3 linked regions of the Styela clava genome follow. The protein of the gene in region 1 interacts with the protein of each later gene in a pairwise test. Links are inferred from orthologs where the notes say so. Each region holds a gene or a part of one and is shown in the gene's direction. Other genes may lie near its edges. The genes, in order: protein bicaudal D homolog 1-like, clathrin heavy chain 1 and ras-related protein Rab-6A-like.

Region 1 (11,402 bases):
TGTCAATCTGAACAATCTACATCAAAGAAATGTTATAAAACTAAATCAGCAGTCAAGATAGCGTAATCGTATTTACAATGTTATGATGTTATAACTAAATATAGTATTCCAACATATTAGCTTAATTTCTTCATGCACAAGTATAGTAAGTCTTTAGTTTTGCTTTCACCTAACCGATGCAGCCTAAATTCTTTTGTGTTTATGAAAATTATTTTCCATCTCTTATTTCAGGCCAGTCAACGTTGAATTTGCATTATCGGGCTCATTGGAAGGAAAAGAGTATTGGGAAAATAACAACGGTAAAAATTACTGTTTTCACTTAAGTGAAGATCCTCTTAATGACATAGCAACTGGAAAATCCGAACCGGGCGTTGTAACGACCTGGCGAGTAGCAGAAGGAAGTTCTCCAGATAAACAAGAGGAAATTGTCTTTGATACATCTAGTTATCCACATTTTGAAGCTCACCCCTTAACGCCAACCAAACTCAGTTATTATACGACGTTGCATCGGGCGCCAGAAGAAGAAGTTGTTCCCAGCAAAGCGCCTGATACAAAACATATCCGTGCCTTCAATGCATTGGCAATTGGAGAGTTGTGCGAAGTTGAAGACAAACCCAGCAATCCAGATGATGGAGCTATCGAGGCGACAACTGCTACTTTTGCGGAAACGGGTGTTTGCATGACCGGCGAAGAAACGCAAGATGGAATCGAAGTTCAAGCAACGGAACCGACACAAGATCAACAAACAGTTGAAGATCCCATTGAACCGATTAAAATCACCAAACCGATAGACGACGAATCGCCTGATGACGTTTTTGATAAATTAGAAAATCCGAAAGAAGAAATGCGAGTTGACCTTCAAATCATTGAGGAACCTGGTGACGGAAACAGGCCAGATGGTGAGAGAAAAGATACCGACTTGACGGCAAACGATGCTGCGGGTCAACAACTAACAGAACAAGACCCTGGTAAGAAAAAAGACAAAAAACAAACAAAGGATGAAAAAAAGAAAAAGAAAGAGGCGAAGAAGCAGGAGAAGAGCGACAAAAAGGAAAAGAAGTAAGTGTAGTATTCAGACTATTTTCCTTTGTTATGTCGAGCTAAAACATTTTTCGCGGTAATCGTAACGTATTATAAATAAATACGCCCATGGATAATTTCACGCGATCTGGTAGAGGCTACTTTTGCTAGGAACAAAATTGATACAAAGCTTATATATATACAGCATAGCCAGTTAATATGTAAATGCGATAATAACCATGCCTCTTAGAAATAAAACCCAGATTTATTTTTTCTGCTAACAATTGGATAGCCAGAATCTCGCATTTGGTTTTATGAAAGTTTTGATTAATATCTCAGAAAATCTAAAAAGAGCAAAGCTCCTCCAGTACCCCAAACTCAACAAAACGAAGATCAAAAACCAGATTCTGATACACAAGAACAGAAAAATGGAAAGGATAAAAAACCATCTCCTGATCTCCAAAATGGCGACGACCAATCAGTTTCAAGTAAAAAAGAAAAAATAGGTAAATCCCTTTGGATTGAATTTTTCCGATATTCTAATTGTACGAATAATGAGTTCAGTTTTATCGGGACCAACAAATTACCCTTGTTTAATATTTACGAGCTCAATATAACTTTTTACAAAATGTCACTTCATTGAGACCATTATTTCTATTGATCGACTCAAATTCCACACAAAATGACGTATTATCATCAATAATATGCGAAGTAAAATATGCAAATAGCATGTTACTTTTAAATGAATATTGTCCATTGAACTATAGAACTGGTTTACTGTAATAAAAATACGTTACAGAAGCACGTTTGAGAATGACGAGACGTAACTTTTCGACTAATTTTGCGGGACAAGCGTCATGGTAGATGCTTTCATTTGTTTTATATTTTTCCAGGAGACGAAGATTCCCCAAAGAAGCCAAAGAAAGGTTTTCTTACGAAAATGGCGTGCTGTGGAAAGGCCGAACCAGACTGATCTCGTCTGATGTGGTTGACCTATTACTTTGTTTTATGAAGAGTAAAACCTATAACTTTTTGTTTTATCTATGTCAGTATTACGGGTCATCGTTTTTGGCACTTGATGTACTAACTACTAATGCACATTTTCATAGCACTTCGTTTTGGCAAAAAAAGGAATTTTTATTTATATCGAGTGTTTGGTTGGGAATTTGGGGTAAGTTATATGGCAACGGAAGAGTTTTAGGATAACCTCAGATGATAGCAGAATTATTGAATTTATTTATGTGGATAGGAAATACAGTGTAAGAGAGTTCAGATGCCAGTGGCGTTCAAACTTTAAAAAGTTTTTTTCTTGGGTCGATTTGTGCGATTTCCCCTTTTTTAGCGTTGCGCGAAGCCTGATTGAACTAGGCTACTTCGAAGTGGTGATTCAGTTTGATAGGTGAGAGCACACTGTGTACTTTAATGATATAAATCATTATCTCTCTCTCTCATTCTTTTTAACCTATTCGGTTTGAAATGATTATAGAGGTTGTGTTTGGTTGTACCATAGTTCTTTACAGCTTACTTATCTCAAAATATCCCTATTTTGAGCAATGTATGATTCTCTGATCAAAAATATCTGACTGCACCAAGATGGCGCACATCCTGAACATAGTTTGTTTACCAGGTTAGGGTTCAGGTTGTGCGCCATCTCGGTGCACATACTTCGGGAGTGCCCTAAAGTCTATATAGTGTAGTGTAGAATCTACACAAACACAATATTAAATAAATATGGTTCAAATCTAAACACCTAAATAGCAAACTGGCAAACACTGAGAAGAAGTTCAAATTCGAACTTATTGGAATAAGCAGACATGTTTGTTTGCACACTTATGACAAAGTTGAAACCGAGAAACAAAACCTTAAGATTGGTTATTTACCACTATTAACTAGGCTTACCATACGTCCCGGTTTAGCCGGGACAGTCCCGGATTTGACATGCTGTCCCGGCCGGTTGACTCAAATGTCCCGGTTTGTCAGCACGGTTTTCATGGGTAAAAAATTCAAATTCATTATTATTACAAATTTTTTTTTTAACGGTGACAGCCCATTTACCACTGTTTTGCGACACACTTTGCTAGTTCAGAGAGAGAAATCGCTCTATTGTTATGTCACAATTAGCATATGTTTTAATGCGTTTTCTGGCGTTAACTGCAATGTCGTTAAGTTGTCGAAATGCCAAAAAGAAAGTACAAGTTTTCTGATGAGTTGAAGAAAGATTTTCCTTATTTGAAGCAAACTAAAGGAGGAAAGGTACACTGTACGCATTGCAGATTTGTTTTTCTATTAGTCATGGCGGACATTCAGATGTCAACAATCATATCCAAAGCAGGAAGCACAAAACATTGAGGCATCGACTCGACTGACCAATTTTGCGATAACAAATATTAGGATGATTCTGTGTCGTTGGCAGCCGACATTTACCTATCACACTGCTATTCATGACCAAAGTTTTGACTGCACCTCTAAATTAATTTCAAATTTTTTTGGGGCTAAATTTGCATTAACAAATATACACAGTTAGAATTTTTGATGTCCGCTGTCTGATAAGCGGATTCGCTGATTTTGCACGTTTAGCCAGAAATAAATGAGAGTTGGTGCATTGCTCCGCTGTTCTCCTCTGAATTTAATGATGATTTACTTCAAGCTCGAATGGCAACAAAACGCAGAAAAGTTGAAGCTAAGTGCAAAGGGTTCAAGCTGAAAATATTCAAATGGAATTTTTTGAGATGCAATGAGGAAATAAATCTATATTCTATTCGAGAGATGTATCACTGCATGATTTTTAATATAAAAAGTATCATCCGTTCAGTTTCAACTTTCTAAAAATATGTGCGGCCCGCCAATGACTCGCAACCCTTAATTTTGGCCCTCGGGCGACAAAAGGTTGCCGACCCCTGCCGTAGATGTTGCAAATATTCTGTCAGAGGTGAAGCTAAATTTGCAGGGAAAAAATTTGTATTTAAAAAGAATGTTTGCGATTTTTAAAAGAAATGTCTATCGTATATAGAGCTGCACGATGAAGCCTACAATGCTGCCAGGCCACACATATGGACAAATTTGAAGAGTGAAATAAACTGGACTGTTTGTGTTTGGTCTGCAAAATTGATAAATGATATGATTGGTTAGCTGATCAGGTTTTGAATAGCGATGCACTTTTCGACGAATACTGATAAAGAGATATTTATCTGAGCGTGGTTCAAATGCAATTTGACTTACTTTGCCGGTTGAAATTAAGTAGACAGAGATGTTTAACGTTTTTTTTAACAGAAATATTAGCATTTCGAATTTGCAGCAAATTGGTTGATTTTGTTTTTCGGAACATCTGTTAAAAGGATATTTTCCATTGTTAAAAAATTTTGGTCCGAAAGCAGGTGCAGAATGCCAGAAGAAAATATAAAACCACTCCGTAACCTGCAAATTTAATGGTGATGTCTCTTGTTATCAGTTTTATGACAAAATCAAAACAAGAATTTTTGAGAAAGGTTCCATCTGCGGACAAATACTTTTGGTCTAAATGAATAATACAAACTAATTTTTTGTGTTTTTTCTAATTCAATGATCAGTAGAGATTTACAGCCGTATATACCCGCAATGGCATGGTAGACGTTCCAATATTATCAAGACTGGCAATCGACCGAATGTTTGCCAAATCGCACCGTCCCGGTTTTTTGTTTCAGATTTATGGTAAGCCTACTATTAACTAATCTACTCAACATACAAATGCCTGTGCAATTATATTTCAAAACACGGGCATGATATAGCACAATTATTTATCTTGACTGAAACTGACTACAATAAAGGCATTGTAATGCACGTCATCAACATAATAGTGTTGGGCATGAATAAAAGCGAAAAACAGGAAAATTGTACACATTTTCTGAGCCATTCAGTCTGTATAGGTCAGGACAACATAAAGCTTGAAAGTATTTGCATCATTTTGTAAAGATTATTTGGCGATATATTTCCAAACGACTTGCTACATTTTCTATTGTATAATTTCATAGGTTCTAATATTACCGTCAAAAACAGAATATTAAACACGCACTGCCTGTTCTCCGATGTTAAAAACACGCAGTGTGCTAGTGAACGTGAGAATTATTTTGAATGGAAAATAAGCAAATTTAACAGACAATTAAAATATTTAAATATCTTGTGCTTAATTAATGTACTTTAAAGAAAAAAGTATAAGCTGACAGAATATCTTAAAGATGATAAGGCAAAACACAAAATGATTTAATTGCAATATTTATACAAGAACCCAGTTGCAAAAATACTCGAAGAATACTCGGCGGTATGGCGGTATCTCGAGGGGGATAATTATATGCGAGAGAATTGATGGACTCCTTGCCGCTGATGATTAAATCGTCTAATCGGCTTCCTCCGCCGCCCGGGATAAATATGTGAATCCTAAACCTAAACTCTCTCTCTTCCTGTGTTTTGAAATTCGAGTCAGTTTTGAGCAGTCAGTGAATGTATCAACTTTAGTGGTTCTCCTCGCCGTCTCATTTTCAAATAAAAGTACAAATAGGTAATGCGTTAGTCGATAAATCTTCATAATGTTTTGAAAACAAATCTTATATTTAATTATTCAAGTCGAGCCTTTGTGATCTGTCTCCATCATAACGAAGAAATTTTAACTGAATCAGATTTAACCGGATATCTTATTACAGACTCGTCAAAATCATCAATTTGATTCATACTTTTGGCCGCTGAATCTTTTGGAGACGGGATTTTGCAAAGAAAACTACCGTATTACTGTGTTATTGGGAAATAGGGTTCGAGTTGGGCGCTATTTTTGTCCCCTTTGAGCGCGAAATTTGTCAGCAAATGCCTCTCAGATGTGAGATACCGTCACGCAATCCAACTGGGTTTTAGCCTTCTCGAAAGACGACTGCGCCAGTCAAGACAATTCAATAACGAATACCGGTACCGCTACTGGATTAATGCTTCCCAGTTTTAGCTGCACATGCTACCGGTACTCAGCTATTCTTGTAGCATATTGCTGTATTGTATGAACGAGTAGAACATGGATTTATCAGATGATGTCCAACTTATCATCGATAGACTCACACATGATTTAGAAGAAGCACAACAAGAAAAAATTCAGGTAGGTTTATTTTTATATCTGATTCTGGGATTACCGTACAGTATTATGTTTGATCAACTGTACTGCTGTACTGTTGGCAACTGTACAAAGAATTGAAAAAAAAATTGCGGGATTTTTACATCATCCTGCGTTATTGATTAGTCAATTCCAACCGAATAATTTAGTTTTTTGATCAAGAATTTGAATATGTATTTAAATTATTCGCATAGGCCTATCTGCATATTCCACATTTCTAATCTAATGGTTAGTGGATATGCAGACTTGGAAACAAATGAAATATAAAAATTAGAAACAGTTAACATCCTACGGTAAACGTGGAAATGATGGACAACAGAAGAATATGATTCGAATATCACAGACCACTTTCGAACTATGACTTGACATTGTTGTAGGAATCATGCTGACGAGTTGTCACACCAAGAAATAAGTATCGATAAATGGTCTGGCATTTTTACTAAACTCTATTACCTACCTCTTACACCAGTCAGTACAGCACACTATCCAAATTCCAAGAATTTCCCTCCATTTGGTTAGATAAAACAAACACTCTATGTATCTCACAAACGAGGGGCGTCTGGACCATGTCAGATGCTTCATATCGCGCCATGCTTGTCTCAATAATAATCTTAATTTATCGCGGCCGTCACATGACCAAAATTGCCGTTTTTTGCTAAAAACTCTCGAATGATACGGTAAAAAAAATTTCGGTAAATTGGTTGATTTTTTTCCAAGAAATTCAATGATGACGATATTAGATTGCATTTTTTTGTAGTATTTTGCGCAATTTTATTGCACTGTATTATTACCGATATTGAGGGACAACAATGTCCAGATGTCTCCCAAAGGAGGGGTGTCTGATCATCTGTAAAATGGGTTTCTCTGGGACGGGACAATATCACCCAATTTGTATAGTGTGCCGTACTGCCAGTATTTTTTCGATTCCAAGTTCTGAAGATGTCCCGACATTTGATTCAATAAAACAAACAGTCTTTTATCTCTGACACCGTTTTCACCTCACACACTACTTGGCAGTTGTTTACCTCAATCAAATTGTCGGTTTGCTTCGAATGTGGCTGGTGTCCCAAATCCCAAACACAGTCCAATCCACTTCAAAGTAAACAGTCGTGAATTGTGACCCACCGTGTTTATTCATATTTTTTTTCAATAAATGTTTGTGTGTACAATGCGGCCAAACTGGCGCAAATATTACTATGTGTTTTAAACCTATTGCAGGTTTTGCTAGTTACCCCGATTTCCCAATCTTGTGGTTGTTCATTATTTTTGTTTTGTATATGTTTTTTGCGAGGAAATATATATAAACTCATCATCATTCCTGGAGCCCTATAACCGTAGAATTTCAGATTTTATTAACATATCATTGACAATATTTTAATTTCACAACACTCCATTTCTGTATTTACATTGTACTGTTTACCATTGCCACACTATCCTGCTTTTTCAAAATTGACTAGTTCATTTCTGTGAAGATATACTGGGCTAGGCTCTTGCACTTACTCCATGGTTTTCGAATCCTAATCAGATATGCTTCAGATAAAAAAAACTTTATTGAACTTTAAAGGTTTGCGAAGCAAATATTCACAAAATAAAAACTTGAGATATGAACATAACTACGGTGAAGTAATATTTTAAAATAAAGCCATATTAAGAAACCACAGATTGATAACTCTGTATTGGAGTATTGTTTATTTTTAAGTTTTATTTGCTTGAATTCTTATTTTTAATATTTCAGGCGGCTGAATATGGATTACAAGTCCTCGATGAGAAGCAAAAACTACAACAAAGATACGATGAATTAGAGGTTATGTTAGATTCTACTCAGAGAGAACTTGATGCATCAAAGAATGAATTTGAACTCAGCAAACGGGTATGAACTATCATAAGTAGACTACTTTTGAATTTTATATTAATGAAAAAACATACTAATACAGTAATTACGTTTTCAACTTTTTGAGTTAGGAATCAATTGTCTGTTTTTAAAACTATGCTTTGTACTTTTTTAATTCAGAAATAGTTTTTATGCAGTGAAACATTGTTAGAACTTGCTTTATCAATTTTTACATTATGAAATTATTTTGCAATACCAATTCTGACATTATGAAATGAAGAATATATATAAATTTTAAGTCTGTTCTACAAATATTTTTGAATATAACATGGGCCTAATTTTGTTGTCAATTTTGTTGATCAAAATCAGAAGCTTACAGATTGAGCCAATTCCAACTTATGCCTTTAATCAAGTAGTATTAAACGCTATTGAATATATCAATGCAATTCAATTATACTATTAGTTTGGGCCGTATACTATCTAGTGGGACATTTTTAGTCTTTTTGTAACACCTTCAAAGATTCATTCAAGTTTGTCAGAAGGCATTTTCAGGTTCACTTATATAGGATATACTGTATCTTTCTTTTTGACAGTATTTATGATGGAATTTTTTATTTGGAAGTTTAGGAATGTAAAACATTCAATCAGTATTTATTTATGTCGCATATAAGTGCAGCAAATTTGTGTAGCATAAATAAGTCCTGCATTCTATTTTTTAATTAAGCTTACTCTCAAAATTTAAGTTTGTATCAAGTCCCCATTACATTTTGATCTCTGTGACCCGAGTATTGAAGTAATTTGAAATCAACAATTTCCTGAAGTTGAGCTATACATCGTTTCTTTTTCCCTAAATTTATTAAATCAAATCAAATGTTTATTTATAATTTTTTGATAGTCTATAAACTTTTAAAATCCATATTTTTGAACTTGCCAATGTTTCTAAATAATTCTCATGAAATGGCGTTGTGGCGCATTATGCTAAGTGTTAGGAATAGAGGCTACCGCACCTCTGATTACCCTGCGTGGGTTCACAAGTTCGAATCCCACAAGATTTCCTCTCCCCTGGGATAAATATGGGAATCTTATTCTATCCTAAATGCTTAATATGACATTGGGTAAAAAGGGGACAAATCATATATTGCAATGAAGTTTTGTAAATAATTTTGATTAAAAAATATTAACTTCTTGTTTTAAAAATATTCTATTTGATCTAAAAGCTTCATTCAGTTATTTTAAACTTCAAATCACCGTGGCCATAGTATACTGTAGAAAATATGGAACTCTGTATCTGGTGAATGAAATATTTCTAGTAGGCCTACTACTAACTTATAACTATTAATAATTGCATTATGGGGGAAATAAGGACTATTTGTCATATTCTAATCCCATGGGGGTCTTAGTCATATTCTAATTTTATTCGTATCGAGTTTCTCTTGTTTTGGCCCTGGCAAAGTATCTAATTTACCAGATATCCTTTTGACATTGTCAACAGCTAAATGAAAATTTGACAATATGATGATAGATCTTCATAATTCAATAGAATAGATATTTATTTTTTATTAGGCTCTTGAAAACAGCCAACATCAAAATAAAAGAGTATTTCATGATGGCGAAACTCGCGAACAAACATTATTACAACAAAAAGAACAAACAGAAGAAACTCTGATTTCCACAATACAGGTGTTTATTCTTTACTATAAAAGTTATAACTGACTCTTAGTACTAGTCTTTAGTTCTTAGAGTTCTTGTCCACTATGGATTCACATCTCAAGCAATTGTTTTATTGTTCATCTCAGTACTGTAAATGTTTTTATTAGGTCTACAATGATTTAAAAATAAAAGACCGTAGACTGCCAATATAATGATGGCTTATTCCTGCATTTTTGACTCTGTGATATATATTTTCTGTGGTACTCTCGAAGTGTGTGTACCAGGTTAGGGTTAGGCCATAATTTTATTCCAATTTTTCTTATTTTAGTTCTATAACGAGTTCGGGGACTGTCTGTTTTAGTCAAGTGAATATACCCCCTGCCCATAGGTTTCAGTCCCTGTACACAACTTGATGTAAAGTAGGCAAACAAAAATAGTTAATTTACAAATGCTCATTACGTTTTGAGACAAATAAAATGAATATATATCATATATATATATTTGTATTTTTAAAAGTCAAAATTTTGTAATAGCTTCTAAAATTGATATTGATTTACTATATAGGATCTTGAATCTGAGTTGATTCAAACGAAACAAACCTTGAAGAATGTGTCAGCAGAAGTTGATGGATTATCTGCAACGAACGGTGAACTTGCAACGGTGAGAATTTTTCCTCTTCACAGCTTTAATATAATCCTTATAATAGTAAATATATAGCGCATGCGCATCTATGGACATTTTATGTAAAATTAAACTGGCAGTTGAATATTGTCAGACTTTCTTGAATTTTTCTACCAAAGGTAAGGTGTCAAAACCATGGCACCCTGATTCAATTCTGCCATTTTACGTTACTTAATAAAAAAAAGTATCACATCATGCACAATTTTGTATGATCATGCTTGAACCACCTCCATCTTGTCCGCCAATCTTTTCTACAAAGCAAGTTTTGGATTCCAAACCCTTACCTGTACTAATGGATGGCCTTAGTGGTCTTAACGTTACCGTTAATGACGTTAATTACTGCAGCGGAGGAATTAATTATCGATTTAAATTTGAATCTTTTTTATGATCAGATAACGAACTTATGTGTAAATCGCATGTTTCATTGGTTTCATCATTGAACTCTCGTGTGCATGTATTTGAGCATTGCTCTCTTATTTTGTATAGTACTATATGCCTCGAACCTCAAACTGGAATTGTATCCTAACTCAGAAGTTTTTTGTAAATGTTTAAGACTGATATTTTCATTTCAGTCTTATCAAACGCTTGAGAAACAGAAGAGTGCAATTAAAAGAGAATTAAAGGAAACAAGAGTCCGAGAGTCAAGGTTATTGAATGATTACACTGAACTTGAAGAGGAAAATTGTAATTTACAAAAACAGGTTCGTGCTGTCACTCTTCTTATTGATTTTACTATAATATGATGAGTTAGGAAAGTTATGACTATTGCTGGTTAATTCAAATTAAAGTCTTTGTGTTTGACATCGTAGACAGTTGTTTTCAACCAAGGTTCGACGACACCCTAGGGTTCCACAAGTTTACATACCAGTAGATATTTCTCAAATATAATTGAATACACTGGTATAATAAAGTATGTTTTTACTGGTGTGTTTGAAAGACCGTCGGCCGTTCTATGTCAAATTGTTGTTTCACATTTTTTAACGTATTTTATGATAGCTTGCATAATCAATAAGAGATTGAGATTCCGGAATGTTTCTTAGATTTTCCGTTCCACCAAAAGGGTTAAAAACCTCTAAGCTCTTAACTCCCAAAATT
Region 2 (10,996 bases), on another chromosome or scaffold:
ATATTTTTCATGATGTTTTGATATCTTGTTAACAAATAATTGATGCTAGATCGATTACACAAAGTCAGCGTGTAAAGTAGTTGCATAAATCAATTTCAAGCAAGAGAAGTATATAAAAAAAATTAAATATATGTAGGTTTATATATATCGTCAGACTAATAAAAAAATTGCCTAAGTCAAATTTTAACATTTTGAGTAAATCAAAAAAAACTTCATAACTTTCCCATTTTTCAATCTATTTCAAATTTTTTTTTATCTAGATTTATCTTATCAACTTTTTAATTATTTTAGGATATCTATAACTTCCAAATTCTATTCTATATGCGCTAAAATTGACTTAGGCATTTTTTTATTCCCGCACCCAGAGTTAGGCAATATTATTCACATCTTCGCCCTATATTTTCTCTGTACATTCGCTTGACCTATATACTTTGTAAAAGTCCATTCGGCAAATAATGAGAGAGTGACTTCCATTAAATTAATATGACACGAAAGCCAAGTCAAAAATTCGATATTCCTCCTAAATCATAATTTGGCTTTGATGAACATTAGAATAGATGTCAGCCCACAGGCCAGATGTATTGTATTCAATTGATACAAAGAATGTAAAATTTCACAACTCAAACAACAAACAATATAATAGAATTAAAACATAAATAACTTTTTTGAACCTAAAACATCAACATAAACAAACAACTGTAATCATGAATTTATAGTAGTATACTTCATTTAAGTTCGTATAATCCACTCGTGAGGAAGGTTGTCATAAAAATGATGACAGTCAATTGGCATAATTGATTTCATTTCTTGAAGATCATTAAATTTCCTTGCACAAACTGGAATACGAGATCTGAACATTGGCACCCATTGACTTTGAACATTCTGTACACGGTGTGGTAGCGCTTTCCAAATTGCTTTCTCAAACGAAAGCTTGTAACGAATACTATACCATCACTTTCGTACTTCAGGGCACGCAAATCATGCACTCTGGGATCTCCTACTCTTTTTCCGGGTCTAATACTTTGAAGGAACAATTGATTCATTATTTTGAAATCAGTGTGCCTCATTTGGCGAACATGATAGGGTGATGGATGGATTCTTGCGGATTCCATAAGTACGATCAAATCTCTTTCAGAAAAAATGTCGCCTACGATCTTTCGTTCAATGACGCTGTGCAATATTCCATTTGTGTATGTCCAGCCACCAAAAATTTTTGCTCTATATCTATGTTGTAAGTTCTTGCCAGACTAGAATATGCATTGGCTACCTGTGTTTAAATAACATAGAAAGATAGATATTTCCGCAACGAATCCAGCGATACCAAAATCGACAAATAGTGACTCAGGCAATTTTTTTTATTAGTGTGACGATATAGGATTCCCAGTTATATATTATTGTATTACTTGAATTATTTTAACAGTATTAATATTTTTTTCACATTCTCCTACTGTGCTTCCATTTCAAATCCTCTTTCTAGATATATATATATATATATATTATTGTTCTTTCGGTTAAAATTCGGCTATAAATTACTAACTTGTTTATTTCCATAACAATCAAAGACCAATAAGCACGTAACAAATGCAATTTGTGCATCCGTTCAGACAGATATTCAATCAGAGATGTTAACATTGCCTCGATTTCGTGGTTTTGCGTGTTATTAGACAGTTTTCAGTTGTGTTTCCAAAAATTAGTAGTGGGCGACGCGACGCACAAGTGCGTCGTTTCAATTTAGCTGTATGGCCGCAATTAAGACGAATCGATCTAGTGTAAAATGTTGAAAGAAAAATGCGTGCGGATCTTTCACAATGCACCACAAGATTCAATGGCATTTATATAAAAGAAGGAAACACACTCATACCCTAAATTAAATGCGATTTCAATAACTTTCGTTACGTTTTGTCATTGCCAAAGAGGTCTTTTATTAATTAAATTGTATTAGTCGTTTTTCACGGGGAATCGCAACTTGAGCATGTTTTATGGAAGAGCGTCGCAATACAAATAAGTTTGAGAACCACTGGACTAGAGATATTACATGAACCGCCATCATGAAAGCTGATTGTAGAATTGATTGAGAGCAATGTGATATCATTGTCAAACAAAAATGGAGTTCTGGCATTGATTTCATCGACTAAGGTAGCTACTCCCAAAGAATTCAAGGGAATATGAAATTGATAAATAGTACTCACCATCAGTTTTTGTTCACACTGCGATACCACACGACTAGCTACCACTATCGACTAGAATCAATTCCGATGCACTGGAATCGATTCTCGATTGGATTGCAAACTATGTTGAGTAGCTACGACGCCGCAAACTTCACTATATATATATATATTTTGCTAGGAGTGTTTTACGTTTATTTATTTCTAAATTATCTGTGGGTTCTGAGGGATTCGATATCATATGGTATTGCCTATAGGTTTTCTCGGTAACATGTCGTGGAATCGAAGGAGAATCGAATACTTGTAAGTAGTAGTGCTTAGCACCCTTGGACTCATAAAACATAGCTATCTTTAAAAGCATTATTGGCAGGTCAGATAGGGTAAGGTGGGCCACGGGGCACAGTGGAAAATCAGCTCTCACACTCATACTATATACGGAATCAGGCCTGCGGTGCGATGTTTGAATCGCTCTTCCGTGATTTACAACGTCCCCGCAAACGGACAACGGCCGTGTAGAGCGACGCAAGTTATGGGATGAAATTGGTTTTGTTTGATCCATTAAGTGCTTATACGCCTAGAGATGCGTTATTTTTTGTGTAATATTATGGTGCCATTTGTCCTATGGCCCTATATGAAATATATATATATTCTAGATTCAAAAATATTTTTCAGATACAGATTCGAAAAAGTAAATAATTTGCTTTTGGCCGGAATTAGAATTTTTACTTGTTAATATATAAATGGTGATTTTATTTTCAAAATTACAGCATCGTTCTTTTTTTTTTGAAGGTGCCCCAGGGCCTGTCCGAATGTGCCCCACGAGTGTGGTACAGTGGGACACTTGACAGACGTTTTTTGGAGCATTTTAGTCAAAAGATGTGTATTGCTAGGGAATTTTTTAGTCGATGAATAAATACTACATTTACCCCTATCTACATTAGCCCCGCAAACTGAAATGAATGTGCAGAATATAGGGCTCGAAATAGGCAAAAGAAAAAAAGTGTCCCAACCTACCCCACTCTCTCCTACAACACACTAATCTTGTAAAGTCAGAAAGTGGAACAATAACACAGAAATAGAGCAGTTTTGGGCTCAAGTTAAGGATTTTAAAAATGCCGCTTGATTTGGGAGGGGATTTCATTTTCAGATCTCTTTGAATGTACTAAGCAAGCAATGTTACTACCTTGTCGCTCTGAAGCAACTGTAGCGACATTTTTATTACATTTAATAACTACATATTCAGATATATTTTTTGAATGTTTCATTTTTCAATCTAGATGCTTTTAGATGTTTTTTTAGGTCAAACTAGATGTTTTTAGTCAGGCAAAAGTGGCAGCCCTGATGTTTATGTGGTCTTCTGACGCACCAGGAATCCGGCGCTTCCGCATAGGACCGCCACCCTCCCTCTTCTACGTGACCCCCTTAGTATTATCGCAGGTTGTTTGTGAATTAACCGTCCGAATATTGGGCGAACAATATTATCTTCACTGACATCGGAATGCGGGTATTCATGAAAACAATGGTTGACTTATAGTTACTTAAATACTTTTTATCGTGTCTGTATTATCTCCTCAATTTTGTTCTTTCTGTATGTTAGCAAGAGCCCCTGAGCAAATTCTCCCAGAATTCAAGACGTCGTTTTCAGCAAAGTGGCGTAGGTCTCGGGGTACCGGATATTTTGATAGTAAGATAACAGTACAAAATGTTAAGAGAATGACACGCTTTTTTTCTCCAAGATAGGTCGAGACCCGAATGTCATCATAAATCAATTCACATAAATGCATCATGTATCAGCACGCGCGCACAGTATGCCTACTGCAGTATTACCAGAAGAAAGCATAATGATCACCGCATTAACAATCTGGCCAACTGCATCTAAAAATTTCTTACCACATTACAACTGTGCAGGGTAATTTAAAATAATAGTTTTCATTTCAATCGAAACTTGTGATCGAGTGGGTATTGGTAATGAAGGAGTAAGGAGCTATTTCAAAACCACACGCGAGTTTGACATGTGCTTATCTTCTTCTCGCTCTCATTCCTCCCTGGGACTCAAAGTGTCAAGGTAGGAAAAATCCATTTCTTTCCCGTCTTTCCACTTGGTGGTATGTGGTATATATACACCGATCATACGGCGGTACCTTAGTTTGTATGTTTTTGTATGTATGTTTGTTATGTATTTGATGCAAACAAGCAAAATGTGTAACAGGAACAATAAAATAAATACGTCTGATTAATTCACCAAGAAAATCTACCAGCTTCTATATTCATAAAATAAACGCAATGAAATAGATGCGAAACACAAACGAAAAAGGAGACTCACACTCAACGGCTGAGGCTGATTTTTCTGACTTCCGTGGTCACGAGACCGTGATGTCAAATGTTATGACTCACCAAACAGCGCCACCAACTTAACCTTACTTACTTTCAGGTTTCGTTTTTCGTTACATTTTTGTGCTCTCAATGATGGCAGTCAGAAAATATTGATTGAAACATAATGAATGAAGACGGTATTATTCTTGTGATACAAATGCAACATCTTGCTGTAAATCGCATTTTTCATCTGCCATATTGATTAGGATTTTTTCCATACTTGTGTGACGTCACCAAAAGCGCCGGTTCGAGAAGGAATTTTGCCTCGGGTGTAGTGCCAGAAAATGTGTCTTGCGTGTTGTTCAGGGGCTGTAATGGGATGATTTTTTCAATAGTATACAGTACAGGTACGCCGTACCCTTGTTCATATTTTTCACTTATCATTAACTGAGGTACTAAATCGCGTAGTTGGGATTATAGACTAATGTCTAAATGCAGGAATGTCTGCGAGATAGTCGCACCAATGTTCATCTATTTTTAAATATAATTTTTAATGAGAATACCTGATCTTGTCCATCTTTTTTAAACTATTGCTGTATTGGGTTACTAATTCCCAAACAGATCTTCTTCCATAACAATATTTGTGCATTTTGTGTGACAATTATTTCTGTATTTTCACTTTGCTCAACCTAATGCAGTAGGGCACAGTTCTCCAATTCCAAGATGTCCCGACATTTGGTTCAATAAAACAAACACTTGATTTGCTTCTTAAACGATGGCATTCGTATGGTCACATCGCATGATGCTTGTTTCCATATTAATTCAAATCTATCGTGACATGCATTGGCTGTTGTGTAACCAAAATAGCTTTTTTTTACTACAAATTCCACAGATAAATTATTTCCCTTTGATAAATCCAATGGTGACGTTTGTAGATTGTACTTCTTTTCGTTTATTGTGTGTTGTCGGTTTGCCGATAAGAAGGCCCAGACTTTTTAATATGGGGGATTTTCCCGAAATTGGAGAACTGTGCTGTACTGTCATGCACAGTTTTTGGAGAATAAAATTGAATTCAGTTATGCTTGTATTTAAAAAGGGAGTTAATATGTCAAGTGGTATCATGGCACTGTAGTCATAGCCTCACAATTTAGATGACTTGATTCAAAATATTACATGAATAAACCACTCACAATTCAATTTGTATAAAAAAGAAAATTTTTAATTCATCCAGGTGTTTGATAAAGTTTTTTGATAATCAGAATATTATTAGTTGGTTAGTTTTTGTGAATTCTGGATTCTTGTGAGCAAGATGGCGCAGCTTTTGCCAATCAAATTTCAAGAGCATCTGCAGGTGTGTAACTGTTATTACAATTGAAATTTTATTGTCTAAATTATCAGCTTCTATATGGAAGTAAGCACTAACTTCACTTGAGTGTTGTAACATCCACCAAAATTATTGTAAACTCTGCTGTATTGTGTTTAGGAGATAAAATTTTGTCCTTTTAAAGCTAGTAAAGGCTTATGAATGACTACTTTTATTTTTTTCAGCTCCAAAATGTTGGCATCAATGCAGCTAACATTGGTTTTTCCACTCTCACCATGGAGTCTGATAAGTATATTTGTGTAAGAGAGAAAGTTGGTGAACAAGCTCAAGTTGTTATCATCGATTTAGCTGACTCTGCTAATCCGATTCGTAGACCGATATCTGCTGATTCAGCAATTATGAATCCAGCTAGCAAAGTTATCGCCCTTAAAGGTATAGTATAATCAGAAAACTTGATATTCAATTTTATTATTCAGTTTAGTGTAAATTTTTTTTAAGTCTGTTCCTGTTATCTTAAAACCAATCTTAATTTTCAGCTGGTCGTATGCTCCAAATTTTCAATATTGAAATGAAGTCAAAAATGAAAGCTCATAACATGACAGAAGACGTTGTTTTCTGGAAATGGATTTCCACCAACATGGTAGCACTTGTCACAGAGGGCGCTGTCTATCATTGGAGTATGGAAGGTACAAGCTTCATGCATCTCATTATGGGCAATATTGAATTATGAATTATTTATTAATAAATGCCTATATATGTTTCTGAATGACAGGTGATTCGCAACCTACGAAAATGTTTGATCGTCATGCTTCGCTTGCTAGTTGTCAAATCATCAATTATAGGTAAAGTTACTGTTCTGACTGTATTCATACCACAATATAATTCATTTTTTACAATTACTGGTTACCTCTCTATTCAAAAACCGATGTGTACTCTCTTACGGCTATTTGTGACTTTTTTGAAAGGTATAAAAATGTTATTCAGCAAAAACATCCATATTGGTGACTGTTTTCTTGGGTTTTCGAATTCTATAAAAAAGATTTTTAAACTTGTAAACTATTATTCAATAGATACGTAGTTACAATAATAAAATTTATAATTAATTTGTTATGTTAGGACTGACTCTAAACAAAAATGGCTTCTTCTGATTGGGATTTCTGCTCATGCGAACCGGGTAATTGGTGCCTCTCAGTTGTATTCTGTCGAACGAAGAGTGAGTCAGCCTATCGAGGCTCATGCGGCAACTTTTGCGGACTATCAGCTAGAAGGAAACAAGGTAACACTTATCTAGAGCGAGTTTGTCGATCAAGTTTAAAAGATTATTTAAAGTTTTAATATTTTTGCTTGTCATAGTTCAAATATAATTGTATTTTGAACAGTGCCGAGTATCACACAATGGATTGTTGTATCATTATGCGTGGTTGAACATAGCAGATTAAATTGCAGTGTGACCAGTCAATAGTAATAAACAGCTCCATTATTATTAACAATGATTTCAGCACTATTTATACTTTGTATTTGTACTGAAATCTGAAAGATATTTATTTAAATATTGTTATGTAGTAATTATCATGAATTATGGGATTTTGATAAATTTTTCTGCTGTAGTGGTAGGAGAAAATCTTCACCAAGTTAAAATTGTGACTTTATCAAAGATGAACTGATCTATATTTAATATCATTCAAGGTAGTTTACTCTCTGTATAATAATTCAAATGCGATCAGTTTTTTCTTTATCTTAAAAGCTTATTTACCACATTTTGAAAAACGACTTAGCCGTTTGTTAATAAAGTTCTTTCCATGTTAGGAGCCATCAACCCTGTTTTGTTTTGCGATTCGAACCCCGCAAGGTGGCAAGTTGCATACTATTGAAGTTGGAAGTGCCCCTGCTGGTAATCAACCATTCCCAAAGAAGGCAGTGGATGTGTTCTTCCCACCCGAAGCTCCTAATGATTTTCCAGTCGCCATGCAGGTTTGTATGATCTAAGAGTATTTCAAGTAACCAACTGGAAAGATGTTTATTTAGGTTTAATAATACTAAGCTATGGCTGCTAGTTGGTTAAGCATCAAGTACATTCTTCACTCATCTTCTAATGCATTCCAATTTGCCAGTACAAAGTTTTAAACTGTAAAGATCAATAGCCTAATAATCTTGTGAATTTGTCATCTTACTGAGTGATTGGAAATATTGCTTCATCCATTTATAAATTTGTCGAGGTGACTGAATTTCACCAAGTCAACATATGTTTTATTAACTTACTAACTTTCATTTAATCAATATTTCTTACTACTTCAGAACATTTATTGATTTTTAGTGATTTTTTGCTATCTATCTCACAAGTGCACTTGTCACTTGCAGAATATTGGTTTCTGGTCAGCTGCTTCATTCACAAATTAATGAGATATTGATCTTATGCGCTGGTTGCTTCACAACTGAAGCTATTTGTATCCTGTTCAATAGAATGGCTGCTAAAGCTATTTATTGATTTACCAAACCTTAGTGTTAGAGCTATATGACTTTTACTAACATATATAATTATATTCTCACGGATAAGGTAATATATAATTAAAACCTGTTATTATCTAAAGTGATTAATTGATAAAAAAGTGCTAATTTTAATATTGAATTAAAAATGGAGCTAGCTCTCATTTCTATTTCAGTTACGTGTTTTAAACATTAATAGAGATTGGCAACGAAATTAAAAGCAATGTTTTTGGCTCATATCATAACTTGCCATTGATGCTGGGATATCATCATTATTGTCTGATTTGTTGAAGTTACATGATTTGTTATCATGGTTTATCTCATGTATATATATACATACAGCATTAAAGTTGTTCAAAATTATCTACACAGCAAAATTTTATTAAACGACTAGGCTATTTAAATTCAGACCCCCTTTGACTCTAAATACATCGGTGAGCAAAATAAGACCGAACCTCGCAACATAGGTGAGCAAAATAAGGCCGAACCTCGCAACATACTGCAGCAGCATACAACACAACGAATGTTTAGTTTTGTTCCAACTTCATCAAATAATTAATTGGGTATCCCCAGCTGGAGCGGTTAGATCAGAAAACATATTCTTCCTTACTGAAACTACCGTAACAAGATATGGCCGTATTGTAAAAATATGTTAGTAGTCCTATTTTGATTCCTTTATTCTCATTTTCTATACATTTACACAATTCCATTATAGGTTTTTGAAAGTGCAATGTAACCTTATTAACAATAAATATATAGTTAGAATAGTGTGTAATGGTTAAATTATTCCTAGATATTTAAATTATAACTACGATGATTTATCATCCAGCAGTTGGTTGAAGGAATTGTTTAGTATCTGTACCCAATTTGTGGAAACTTATTCAATCAGAATTTTCAATCTTAGAATTTCTATCATTCTCTTAAAAGTTTGATTGGAAATAATATTTCCTAGGGCTCAGATGTACTTCTTTATCATATCACATGATGTATCAAAAGTTTGTTTAATTTTGTTGCCACTAAGTTTTTGAAGCTTCTTGTGCCTGATTTTATACCAAGCATTGAATTACAGCATTCTCCAAAGCACAATGTTCTCTACCTTGTCACCAAGTATGGTTATATTCATCTGTATGATCTTGAAACGGCTGTTTGCATTTTCATGAATCGAATAAGTGCTGACACAATCTTCGTAACTGCTCCTCATGATGCCTCAAGTGGAATCATAGGCGTTAATAGAAAAGGACAGGTAATAAAATTGATGCTAGTTTATGAGAAAGTAATTTACACTCATTTGACCCAAGAAAAGTTGCAATGCTGTGTTGAAACAACGAAGAATTACTTTATAAAATTTGCTTTGATAGATTTTAACTCCCAAAGACCTAAAGTTAGAACCTTAGTAAGCATTATAGGAATCAAATAATATAATTTGAAAATCATCTCTTTTTTCTGTGGACCGCAGGAAGAAATTTAATTCATATTTCATGATAGAGTTGATTTTTCAATTTTCATAGATACCGGTAGGTCTTCATATAGATGCGTAACATATTCGGTCTAATTACGTATTTGTTAATGTGTGAAATGACTGAAATTTTTTATTTGTCAATTATTTCATACAAAATTGTTTATTATAAATACTGTTTATGATTAGATCAATTTGGATCAATTTATATTCCACCTCCTTAGGTATTAACAGTATCAGTGGATGATCAGAATGTGGTTCCTTACATCACCAATACCTTGAAAAACCCGGATCTCGCACTTCGATTCGCTGTGCGCAACAATTTAGCTGGAGCAGAAGAACTTTTCTCTAGGAAATTCAACACTTTATTTGCTCAAGGAAATTACAGTGAAGCAGCGAAGGTAGCTGCCAATGCACCAAAGGTAATAAACTGAAATTCAGTAGTAGGCCAGCTATACAATCCTTTGTGATCATTGGTTATGTTGAAATTATACCATGTTAAATCACATATGTTAGGACTGCAGAATATGGAGTTGGAAACAAAAATATTCTAGTACATCATGGTTACTAGAACATTGCGTTGTATGTTTTTGTTCAAATCATGCGGGGGATGTTTGTGTAATTAAGAGGAGTCATAACATATAAATGTGCGTTGTTACAGAAATGTCTGTGCTTTTGGCGTTTTTAATGAAATTTTACTTGAAACAATTTAAAATATTTGAAATTGAAATAAGGTGCTGATGGAAATTTTATAATTCTTCACTATTCAAACTGCAATTATATGCAGCTTTTTGAGTTTCTATTATGTATTTTTGTAACCTGACTATTGATAACGTTGGGCTATTGATATGGTAAAACAATCTCAGTCAGTTCATAATTAGGTTTCTCGACTTTTTGTATGTTCTAGATTGTGTAATCATGTTGGTATGCTTTTGTACAAGGTTTACTTGCATTATTATGCATTAGGATTTAATGTTTGACAAACGGGGCATATCGCTGAAATAATAATCACACTGTGTAGAGTGCCTGTCACCGGCCGGTTCAGTAAACTATTAGAGGAAACAATAGCATTGGTGCGCTGATACAAGATACAGGGCACAAAATTAACAATTTTTTGGAGGTTTATATTTGCTAGTAAATTTGAAATATATTACCTAAGCAATTGAACATGAATATAGAAATCTCAAAAAACTTATAAGCGGTCAATTCCTGTACTTTAGACAATATTTTTTGATTCTGAAAGTTTGTCGTACA
Region 3 (11,775 bases), about 1.8 Mb from region 1:
ACGGACTAGTTCCATGTAATTTTATTCCTTGTCAGTGCTACACTTTTATCTAGTGATAGTATTGCTGTTTTTCATTGACTCTCTTGGGCAATCAAATTTGAGACAATTTCTAAACTTTTAAAAAAAGAAACTCCTACATTTTTTGAACATCTATTTTTAAACACTTACTTACCGTAAATTATATGCAAGTACATGTTCTGAAAACAAAGAAAAGGCTAACTAATCCCATACCCGACATGGACTGGTAACCGGATGAGAAGCTGTGGTTTGCAATATGATTAAGCTATCTTATCGCTTTCCTCTTCCCGAGATATATATATTTGAATTTTATCCTATCCTTAACCCTGCCACAGGAAACCGCATCTACGTTTCAACTACACCACTTGCTTTTTCCTCCAACCAGTTGGTTAATCTTGGTAATTGAATTAAATTTGTATATTTATTTTTGCTGTCTTGCTTAACAAGTTGTTGAATATTAATTTTACCAGGAGAGAGATACTTACAATGCAAGAAAAAGACTCCTTGCACATTTTGGAAATCTTCTAAGAGAAGCTGCAGTCAAAGTGGAAAGAGACAAATTAAAACAAGAAACAAAATTTGGTGTTCGAAGTAGGCTTCTATTTGCATTTCTTTATATATATAATGTTTTTATACATCATCCACTCCAAACAAGGCTTCGTACAACCAACCACTACCAAATAAGGAGCTACAATAGTAGGACATGAATCTTTCCAGTTCGACATCGCCTACCCAATTTAATACACTCTGGGTGATGTGGTGAACATGGGATTTGAATCTGAGATTTTAACCAGCGATTCCTCAATGTTTAAGTCTGTTGCTTTGACCACAGGGCTACCGTGCCTTAATTACATTGAAAATAGAAATTGATAAATAGCATGTTTTTAACTAGTGCAGTCTGAAAGTGGCTCTATCAGGTTAGAGTGTTTTTGCGAGTTAGCACTTACAAACTAGTTTCCTTGATGTTCTTTGATTATTGAATTTTTTTCTCATTCCTATGACTGAAAAACCATCCATGTTCACTATTTAATATAGCAGTTGAAAGTGTTTCACACCACTTGCATGTTTTAACCTGTACGAGAGGAATTCTAACTACCAAAGGTGGTATCATTCCATTTGCACAATACGGTATATTAATTTGGTCAAAATAATGATCTTAGCAATTTGTATTTTGAAGTTACCATAGGTTGGATGATCAGATTCAGAAAAGTGGTTTGCAGTCCTTTATTATTAGGATGAAAAAATGAATACCTGCTAGTTCTTTTGTACAGATTGCATACTTTTGTACAGATTGCATACTTTTGTACAGATTGCAGATGGTATAAAACAGGTCATCTTTAAATTTTTACTTTAAGACGTTGATCATTCTATGTTTGAGACACAGAAAAACTGTCCTCAGCGCTATTACCAACAGGTTGAAAGCCACTAATTCCGATTTTTAAAATTTGAGAGCAACTCGTCATTATGAGTAGACAAGTCAATAATTTAGTCTGCTTTCTTCACTTTGGTATTCAAATTGACAGAAGCATAATAAATAATAGGTTACTTTGATTGAATTTGTTGTTTCTTGTTATTTAGCGAAAGTAATTTTACAAAAATTATGGCAAGACATAGATCAACAGGATACTATGAAGCTCAAGTTGCAAAAATATAAAGTAACTGATGATGTTGAGGAGAGTGTTTCTGATCTAGACTTTCGAGTACAAGATGAGTGAGTAGCGAGACATTCTGAGAGGAGTTATATTGAATTTAGAAACAATATTTATATACCAGGTTTTGCCAAAATTGTATTATACATAGGTCAGGTTGTAAAGACAGTTAGATATCTGAACTACAGTTAGTATATGGAATAAAGGTGCTTCAGAAGTGTGTGTACCAATATGGAGGTAACTAGTTTTGTTTGCCTACTTTATATCAAGGTGTGTAAAGGGACTGAAACCTATAGGCAGGGGGTATATTCACTTGACTAACACAAACACTATGGTAGTACAGAATATACAATTAGTACTTATTAAAAATATTGTCGAGTGTAGTATTTGGGAACTTTTTCACAGGATACAATTGACGATTGAAGATTGCTGTTTAAATTCTTGCATTTTTACCTGTATGTAATGATTGTCGAACATATTTCAGTCTTCTTTAGATTTTGTTTGTTATATCTTGTGTCATTAACAATGTAATATTTTATTCTGACCTTTTACCATGTAAATGCAAATTTCTCAAGGTCTGAGTCCGAGCCGAGAAGAACGCTTTCTGTACACTGGCGCTGGGGCCAAGTCAGAAGCTGCCCTTCCTTCAAGCCCCCAACAATACCATACAGATCCAGTTTCAGCAAGCCATGTGAGCTTCCCAACTCCTATATCGCCTGAAGATAGACCTGATTCAAAGTAAGTACATAAATATAAAAAAGAGAAGGGAATTTTTTTGTCTCATTTTGGACTTGCAACTTTGTTCTCAGTATTCAAAGTTTATAACCACTAGAGCAAGACACCATGTCTCATTCAAAGCTAAATAAGGTATTAGAATATTTTTGTTTTCGAGTCTTGGATTCAAGAAATATGTGAAATCTCTCAAATTCTATCTGACTACACTTAGTCGAAGAAGTCAACTATAACTTGGTCGTAGAGACCTGAAGGCCTGATTTTCCTAGTTCTGATCACTATCCACTAGTTTTTTTGAATTTTAGTTTACGGCTGAGCATAAGATTGACACATTTCCAAGAGTTGGACAATATCACTAATTCAAGAAATTCATACTGCTCTGGCAATGATCAAATGAATACTATAGATATGTTGACCACATTGAACCCAAGTTTTCACTCAAATTTGTTTTGTGTCCAACTTGTTTATTTATTTATAAAATTATCAATGATTAAAATATAGGAACTTATTCATCTGTCATTGTCAATTAATAAGATGTGATTTCATGTTTAACTGTAGAAAACGAATTGGATTTGGTGTTGGGATTGTGTGTGTGTTCCTAATTTCTAGCTGTTCGATCTGTCTATTAACATTTGCTGTTTTTTTTAGGATTTCATCAACCATTTTTTCTCAACCAGATAAGCAAGTTAAACCTGTAAAAAAATCAATTAAAGGAAGGTCAGGTTCAGGTCCGATTAGGTGAGATTGTATCTCTGTTCTTTGTTGTCATTTTTCATTCGATTCGCAGGCTGTAGTTGATCATTAGTGCAATAAAATTTGAAACTTTACAATATATAGGAATGAGGCATTTGGACATCTCTTCAATTGGGCGGATACGATCTTTTTTTTTAAATAATTTTATCTGATTAATTACCGTAGGATAAACAACATACTTTTTATAATACTTTTGAAAATAGAAATTTCAACAATTCTTTGCAAATTGAGTATTGGTTGATTATACTCATTCCCCACAATCCATGTTATGACAAAACAACAAGGTTCTAAATGAATCTACAATAATTCAGAAATACTTTTTCATTTTTTGCAATGAGTAAAAAAGGAATTGAAAAATTTGGACAAAGACAATGTTGGCTGATTTATATTTGGCATAGGAGAATAGACCCTTTCTACCCAATTTGTAAAATTCAATGCTTGATTCAATTTCAATCCTTTTCAGAAAACCCCTTTTTCGTTATTGTTATGAATGTGGTCGATCTGTTGGTGTGCGTTTGACAACATGTTCTAGATGTCGTGAAGTTTATTATTGCAGTAGATCCTGTAAACTAAAAGCCTGGGAAGAACGACACAAGGCTGAATGTCTTCGTATAAAAAGTATGTGACATGTTGCAATTTTTTTCTTAATAATATAGTTTCGATCCTTGATAGATTTGTTGTTTAGGATAGGATATACATATTTATCCCGAGGAAGAAAGGCGATAAGGCGGCTTAACCATACAGCGCCGAGAAATCCAGCAATCCTCTTGCACATAACCATCCCGCATGGGATTCGAACCAATGCAGGGTAAACAGAGGTGCGGTGATACGCCTAACGCTTAGCACGATGCGCCACACCCTCGAGTCGTTAACTTGTTTGAAAACTGATTAATATATTTTTTTTCCAGTCTTCACATTACACCCTTTTATTTTCAGATAAGAGAGAACAGTCCTCCCCATCTGCAAATGAAATTGCTTCTTATTTTACAATTCACACTTTGAAAGAAGCAATTGAAAATGACCCAACAAGCAACAGCATGAAAATATTACCCAAAAACATAGTCACTAACACGGAGTTCATGCCAAGATCTAAATCTGGTAGAACTACTTCAAGTCATCTCAAATTTGGTAAAACGAAAGGAAAGCCAAGGAAGAAGACTGCTTCATCACGATCCACAAGTGTTCTCCAGCCTTCAACTGGAAAGTATGTAATGATTATGTGAAATGATAACATCATCTTTGATTGTTATTATTCATTGTATTCACTGCCAAATTTTTTTTGTATATTATATGAAGTGCAGCCTAAAGTGTAGGAAAAGACAAATATGGCTGAATAAACATATTATACTTTGGAAACGGACGTTTCTACATTCATAACCGCACATTTTATCTTTACCAATTTAATTTTATCGAAAGCTTCCAGAATCAGTAACTTCAAAGATGTTACTTTTTGTCAGTCACTGAATATATATATTGAATATACCATAATGTCTCAAATCACTTATTTTTCATCCGTATTCAACTGTAATTATATTACACAGATCATTACTGCCGAGTCGCAGGGCTCATGTGGGAGAGATTCTGCAGTCAAAAGTTGGAAAAGCAGTTTATTTTGGAACAACAGGAATGACGTTGGCTGAACTTGGAATTAAAGAGAACTACAGCTTTGAATGAGTGACATCACAATGGTGTTGGCTATTTTGTTTGTTGTCAATTTGATATTCAATATTAATAATTGATTTACTGTATAACTGTAGGAGGATCATTACATTTTGAGTGTTTCATCGTCTCATAAATAAAAGAGTTAGTTTGGTGAAGGAGGTGCCACATCTAACCATATTTGCCTTGATGACTGTGTTTCACAAGATATGTAGTTGGTGACACATTCTTACATTGTTCACAACATTTTGGATTTTAAAAAATCCGTTGGGTTTTCTTTATATCAGTTTTGTTATAAAATTGCACAATAGCAACGACAATTGAGGCTCCTATATTTTAGTTTGTTGCTTAACTCATAGCATCTCATCTGTTGCTTGCATTATGCTTTAGTGCGTCCCTACTTTAAAAATAAATAATGATACTTGAACATGAACAAATGCAATAGTCCAAGACAGACACCACTGTAGTTGTAAATCAAATTCCATGACAATATTTAATGTTGATGGGAGAACCAAACAATTTTGTAAAAGCGTATCAAATTTATAGAATTTTACAGTAATTAATCTTTTCAAGAATTATTTTGGTCTTTATTCAAAAACTCGGCCTTTTCCAAAGTAAAAATAGATTGCTGTCGTTTCTCTTGATATTGTTATATTTTCGTATTGAAGTTCCAATATTATTGCTTTATTCTAGTTTTTAACAAATGTTTTTGTATAAGAATTTATTCAACTTCGCTTCATTAGATGCCAAAGCATACTTTTTATGCATCCAACACATTTGTACTTGCAATTAATAGTTTTAATTTAATGTATATTTATCTGCATAAATCTGTTGCTTGTTTAGTTTTGCGACATTTAGAATTTTTATGTACATTTTTACAGAGAAAATATAATCGTAGTTATTCATTGAACTGCCTATTCTTTTATAAAAACCAGTTGGACGGGAATTCGCATCTATATAACCAACGACATTAAACAACTGTCAAAGCAGGCACGAACACCATTCGTGCTATGCCTTGAAAGCAGCACACATCCGCTCGTTTTCGTCTCGTCAAGTATGTGCATTGGAGCGTGCTATCGGATACAATCTTCGGCTAAAAATGCCGGAGTTGCGCATCATGTTGCTTAATATCATTGGTATAACGCATTGCAATTAACACAATAACTAGTAGTATCGTTTTAGCCCAGAGGAAGACCAACAAAACGAATAAATGCCACTGTATTCTGAACACTGATGGAGTTAGCTAGATTACCAAAGTGCGCTTGTATCGTGCGTTGGCGTTTAACTTCTAAATGGCATTGCAAATGTATTTAAATTGTGTTCCCCACCAAGAAGGACTGACCCAATGCAATTTTTTGCGACTTCTGATGAAAAATCTTGAAAAAAATAGTCACGCTTGAGAGACGGCCATCATAATCTTTTCGCATCAGCAAAAATTACGCCAGGTGGTGACGTAATCGCGGCTACGGATGCATTGGAATTCAGATTTTGTACTTTGTTCGAACGTGAATCATGTGCTTTTTGATAATTATTTCGTTGTAAATTGATAATTTGTGAGACCAAATATGATATATAGTCAATAGTAGGAACATGTGCTCTGGTATGGTTTGTATGTGTACCTGGGTAATGGGTATATGACTACACATTACACGTACCGTAACTTATCGGTACCACCGTAGACCTGTAAACTCTGTATTACTACTGCTGTACTGTACTATGGGTGTTGAGTTTCATGATTTCTCGTCTTCATTTTTTGTCAACCTCAAGTGGAAAGTTCTCAAGAATCTGGGGAAGCTACTCAATTGCTTGTATCTCTTTTAATTAAAGGGATAGGATTTTCATATTTATTGGTGAAAGATGTACAATACTGCGATATTACAATGTATCATAGGGCAGATCAACTCTCGTTTTATTGCCAGTCTTGGTTAGGATGTTATGAGAATGAGGTTGTTACCCATTCTATCTAAACTGGAAATTGATTCCTCCTGCTGTAACACGTTTTCTCAACACTTTTTCCCAGATAAGATCATTTTGAATCGGTCAAGTTTAAAGTTTGTCAGTTGTCTTTTGACAAGCGTTAATTTGGGATTCACTTTTGTCAGTTTTCTTCTTATTTATCTTCACGAACATACTAAGCATTCTTTTATATATAAATTACATAAAATGTGTTGCTACACAAATCTATTATCTGTCTTGATTGTTGTTCTTTCAGCAAATTTGATAGAAACTAGTTGCAACTTTCAGTATAACATTGTCATTCTAATCACCGGTAACCACTTATTATTCTGCAACTTATGGGCAATGAATTTGTTTCATCAATAGATGCCAAAGCCAAATAATCTACCATACTATTTAATATAGTATAAACTTGAGAATTTTCTATAGCACAATTATAAGTTACCTTCAAATGTTTATACCGATAAATTCACGATAAAATTCTTTTAAATTCTTCGTATGACAGAGTCTTATTAATATAATTAAAGTTTATTATCTATTTAATATTAAAATGACGAGCGATTTTGGGAATCCGTTACGGAAATTTAAGTTAGTGTTCCTGGGTGAACAAAGTGGTGAGTGTGTTATTTCTGATAAGAGTTTTGTCACATTATAAAATATTTTTAAAATGTCATAAAATCACTCTAATTAATGTGTTACTACTAAATAAGAATATTCATTATTTATGGCTTAAAAATGAAATCCCGTTTTTTCTCATTTATTAGATTTGTAGTTTTTTTCAACTTTTCATCATATCCTTTATCTTTGATGTACTTTATTTGTGTTTATTTTTTATGCAAAAGTTTAAATTAAAGCTAGGTAGTTCTTTTGGATTATTACTAGGATTATGACAAAATAATGTTATTTTGCATACTAATCTTATATTATTAATTTTACAGTGGGGAAAACATCGCTTATTACAAGATTTATGTATGACAGTTTTGATAACACGTATCAGGTGATTATTGTTGTAAAAAAAAATTGTACCGGTAATTCTTATAAATGTAATCTCAGCTGATTGAGACCAATGGTGCTGGGTGGTGAGTCTGGTGATAGTATGATGAACATTTACTGTCAACTTGGGCGTTAACAATCATAACTAACAGTAGATGCCTCAAATTTTTGCCTCGACGAATTGTTGAATAGTTTTTTATTATAAAAAGTATTCATTAATGGCGGGATATACCTATGAAAAAAGTTTTGAAAAGATAGTAGATGCATTTTCTATTGTATTGGATGTCAAAAGTTGAATATTCAGAATTCATCATTTTTAAGATTTACTTTCTCTTAAAAAAATTATTATATTCATGAGGAAAATCGAGGATTGGCGATGAGTAGGGAAATTCTTTTCACGATTTCTCTTCACTTTCGCAATGAACTTCTTCACTATTGAATAGATTTTCAGTTTTAAAAAATGTATTGAGCACGTGATTTATTTTCGTTACACATAAGGAGTTGACAATAACTTGAATATAAAATGATGATAATCAGGCCTGAAAATCTTCTAGCACCATTGGTTCTGGAAATTGTAGCATATTGTGAATAATATTATTATATTTTATGAATTTTCAAACAATATTTTTTGTCAGATTGCTTTCTGGAGTCTAATAAGATTTTGCTCATTACTCCAATAACTGATAAATAGTGGTAAATCTTGATTTGTTTGCGGTCTTAGTGTGTTAACACTACAGTGCTAAAATTTTATTTTCAATATCAATTTAGTTACTCTTTTCTGTTAACTTATGCTGCTTTTCGTGTTTTATTTTAACGCTTTCATGGGCATCATTGCTTGACCAAGTCTAAGGTACAATATTTGTTAGCTTCATGCATGAGAACAATACTGTATGGCCCACTCTCCCATCATCTTTCTATCTGATTTGCTAGAATCGCAAAAAATTGATCAGTATTTCAACTGGCCTACAAATTAAAAAATGTAGCAGGCTTTGGACATGGCATAATTTTTTATACGTCTGTCTTCAAATAGGTTCAATTTTTGGCTTCCTCAAGTTTTATCTTGATAAATTAAATAAAGATGTTTTGTACAACTGTGTTGTTTTTTAATACTGGATAATTGTAGATCATCAAAGTCTAAATCATAATTCACCCATGGGAATCTAAAGCGAGTAAAACAAACCGTCACATGAAAATGGAATTCCCTGTAATGTTTGGCTCATACACGTTGTATCTTTGTTTTGTCTGATTTGCATGTATGTTAGGCACTAAGACCGCTGTCTTGAATAAAATCAATTTTTATGTAGAGATCGCAGTAGTCTTTTTTACCACTTTCACTTCTGACTTTTGTCTGAATTCAAAACTTATTTTGTTGCAGGCCACAATAGGAATTGATTTTCTTTCAAAAACAATGTATTTGGAAGACCGAACGGTAAGAACCTACATTCAGCATTTAGAATCGTAAATTAGGCAAAATATTTTTATTGAAGGGTCTTTTTTGTTGAAATAATTCCAATGAAGATTAAAAAAGGAGAATCAGCCTATTTAAAGTTCTCAAATTGTTTAGATATAGCATGCTGTTACACAGAATAACATTAGGTTATAAATATCAACGGCCATACAAAAAAATTATACCTATTGTGCAATAAGGATGAGGGTGATTCAAATCTTACTCAAACATACAAGTCTAGACATGGTGCCATCAATCACATCAGTCTTCCTGAACTGGTAGATTTTTTGTATAGGAAAGATGTTGCTTTACGTCTAAGTAACATTACCAAAGTGTTTATTGATTGGTATATATAGAAGATATAGATATATAAAAATACACAAATTTTAGGAATGTGGTTTTCAATACAAACTCAGAACAGCTAGCAACTGTCATCCGTTATAATATCTAAAATCCTGTTAGTGACTTTAGATTTTCTCCAGGTCATATGAAAGACATACCTAAAATGAGTCTTATCTCTATACCTAAAATAAATATTAGAAATTTTCTCTAACCAATCCAACCATGTAATAGAGATGCCTATTTTGAAAAGTTGTTTGGTAGTTGGTTTGAATTTTCTTCGTTACAAATTTTAGCTTGCCATATCAGTAATAATCACATTTGTGAAAGAAAAGGAATTCGTATACAGTGATATCTCGGTGTTACTCATTCTTGACAAATATTACAAGAACAAAATTCTGCCTACCTTTTATAAATTGACATTGTTTGTGTTTTGGTTATTCTCAACTTTGGTAAAATGAAGTCTAATGGTGAAAATACTGTTAGTAAAAATGGAGTGTTTTTGTTTTAATATGGAGCCTGATAATATGTAATCAAATAACTGGAAATTGACTTTATTGTATTTTCGACGTTTTGTCTTCCCAGAGGAAAAGATAGACTAGACGTTCGTAGGTCATGTTCAATATTTCGATATCTGTCTGGGCGTTTTTAGACTCGGTAATTGAACGAATGCACAGTCAACTTAATAGCCTAGAAATTCCTACCAGACGGACTTGCTATGAATAATTCAAAAGTCTGTGAAAACCGTCTCATGCACATGCAACAAAGAACGTCAATACATTGTGGCAGCATATGCTTATTGCTCTCTTTGTTGACTTGTATGAATTATGACACAATTTTCTTTTTTTGACGTCCCCTCAGAACAAGAAACCTCATTTTGGAACAATTTAAATGTAAGGATATACGATATCTAAAACTTATAGGATAATTACTCAGAATTGTTAATTTATTAATAGAGCCTGTCTGGATGGTTGGTCTATAATCAAATATCTGAAAAAAGTGGATACTATCTTGAAATGCATATTGATATGGCCATTGTTTTTTTCTATTTTGGTTTTATTCTGATAGGGAATCAGGCCGTACATGTCAATATATAGGAAATTCATAATAATTTAAAACATGACAATTACATAGGCCTAGCTACACAATTTCAGTATTTGATAATACATATATGTAACTTTTCAAATATAATATTTTTACCAACGTTAACTTTTTTCCGATAAAAACCTTATTCAGTTCTTTGATGTATTTATCGACGATGACCTCATACCAACCGATATTTGAAAACACCAGTGTAAAGCATTTCCTCATTTATATTTCATGGCCTTATTTCTTAATCATTCATACCGATGTACAAGTCCAAACATTTCCGAAGAATGATGGATTATTGCAAGTGGGAAATTTCTACACTCATTGTAGATTGCAAGATTTTTAATCATTTAACAACACTTGACAAAAGCATATAAAATATGTTATATTAGAACAGTGGTTCCCGATCTTTTTTTCAAGCGACCCATATTTAAAAAAAAATGAATTTGTAAAATCCCGCTACCCAAGAATATGCTCAAATACTAGGCGGTATGTAATGTTTATGTCTTTTATGCTCACGAAATTAATATACTAATATGAAAAAAAAAATAAACAATACATACCTAGTATTCATTTTTCCGAAAATTTACTCGAAGTAATAAAGCTGAGCTTTTTTGCTGTAAGCGAGTTTTTGAAATCGTGGCGTGGTTTTAGTAAAGCTGATTTTGTTGAAAAACAAAGCGACCAAATTTCGGGTCGCGCCCCATACGTTGAGAAACACTGTATTAGATCATATACATGTTTTACTGGACTAAATTCCCAAGCCTCTTAAAAAACACTATATTAGATCATATAAAGCACTTTACGGGACCCATCAATCTTCTTAGTTCTTAAACACTGCAGGTTACTTTATTTTTGTAACTAGGTAAAAAATGATATTAGCTATAGCTAAGTATATTAAAGTGAAGTGTATAGTATATTAAATTATCTTATTTAGTATGAAAACAAACAATGATATTGATTTGATTGGGAATATCCCCAATGGGGTAGGATACATTCTAGAATCCATTTATTGATTGGTACTTTTATGCTGCCTTCTTTTATCTATAACTTTGTAGGCTCATTTATTGATTAGCTACTAAAATCACCAGCGAGTGAGTCATCACTATTGAATCCGACGGACTTGAATTTTTTATCGCT

The links.
Region 2: the proteins of protein bicaudal D homolog 1-like (region 1) and clathrin heavy chain 1 interact in binary tests that used the Drosophila melanogaster proteins (3 or more experiments, as listed by UniProt). The link is inferred for Styela clava from reciprocal best matches to the Drosophila melanogaster genes BicD and Chc.
Region 3: the proteins of protein bicaudal D homolog 1-like (region 1) and ras-related protein Rab-6A-like interact in a two-hybrid assay, tested with the Drosophila melanogaster proteins (3 studies listed by BioGRID). The link is inferred for Styela clava from reciprocal best matches to the Drosophila melanogaster genes BicD and Rab6.

The regions. Positions count from the first base shown.
Region 1 is NC_135256.1:9,839,548-9,850,949, reverse strand, and holds the start of protein bicaudal D homolog 1-like, read left to right. Parts: upstream 1-5,621; 5' UTR 5,622-6,049; coding exon 6,050-6,130; intron 6,131-7,880; coding exon 7,881-8,015; intron 8,016-9,539; coding exon 9,540-9,656; intron 9,657-10,190; coding exon 10,191-10,286; intron 10,287-10,879; coding exon 10,880-11,008; intron 11,009-11,402. Other genes in the region: uncharacterized protein LOC120328503, read left to right, coding at 232-1,059, 1,360-1,526, 1,914-1,993. UniProt on the Drosophila melanogaster protein: This protein is essential for differentiation. It may play a role in localizing of Nanos (a maternal determinant) activity in oocytes. Functions redundantly with BicDR.
Region 2 is NC_135252.1:329,927-340,922, reverse strand, and holds the start of clathrin heavy chain 1, read left to right. Parts: upstream 1-5,675; 5' UTR 5,676-5,787; coding exon 5,788-5,829; intron 5,830-6,026; coding exon 6,027-6,234; intron 6,235-6,338; coding exon 6,339-6,488; intron 6,489-6,574; coding exon 6,575-6,644; intron 6,645-6,918; coding exon 6,919-7,078; intron 7,079-7,608; coding exon 7,609-7,773; intron 7,774-9,355; coding exon 9,356-9,529; intron 9,530-9,966; coding exon 9,967-10,164; intron 10,165-10,996. UniProt on the Drosophila melanogaster protein: Clathrin is the major protein of the polyhedral coat of coated pits and vesicles.
Region 3 is NC_135256.1:11,595,561-11,607,335, reverse strand, and holds the start of ras-related protein Rab-6A-like, read left to right. Parts: upstream 1-7,259; 5' UTR 7,260-7,317; coding exon 7,318-7,381; intron 7,382-7,705; coding exon 7,706-7,764; intron 7,765-9,135; coding exon 9,136-9,189; intron 9,190-11,775. Other genes in the region: ankyrin repeat and MYND domain-containing protein 1-like, read left to right, coding at 489-609, 2,243-2,405, 3,048-3,137, 3,616-3,770, 4,089-4,356, 4,694-4,826. UniProt on the Drosophila melanogaster protein: Protein transport. Regulator of membrane traffic from the Golgi apparatus towards the endoplasmic reticulum (ER). Mediates membrane trafficking during egg chamber growth and organization, possibly upstream of exocyst component Sec5.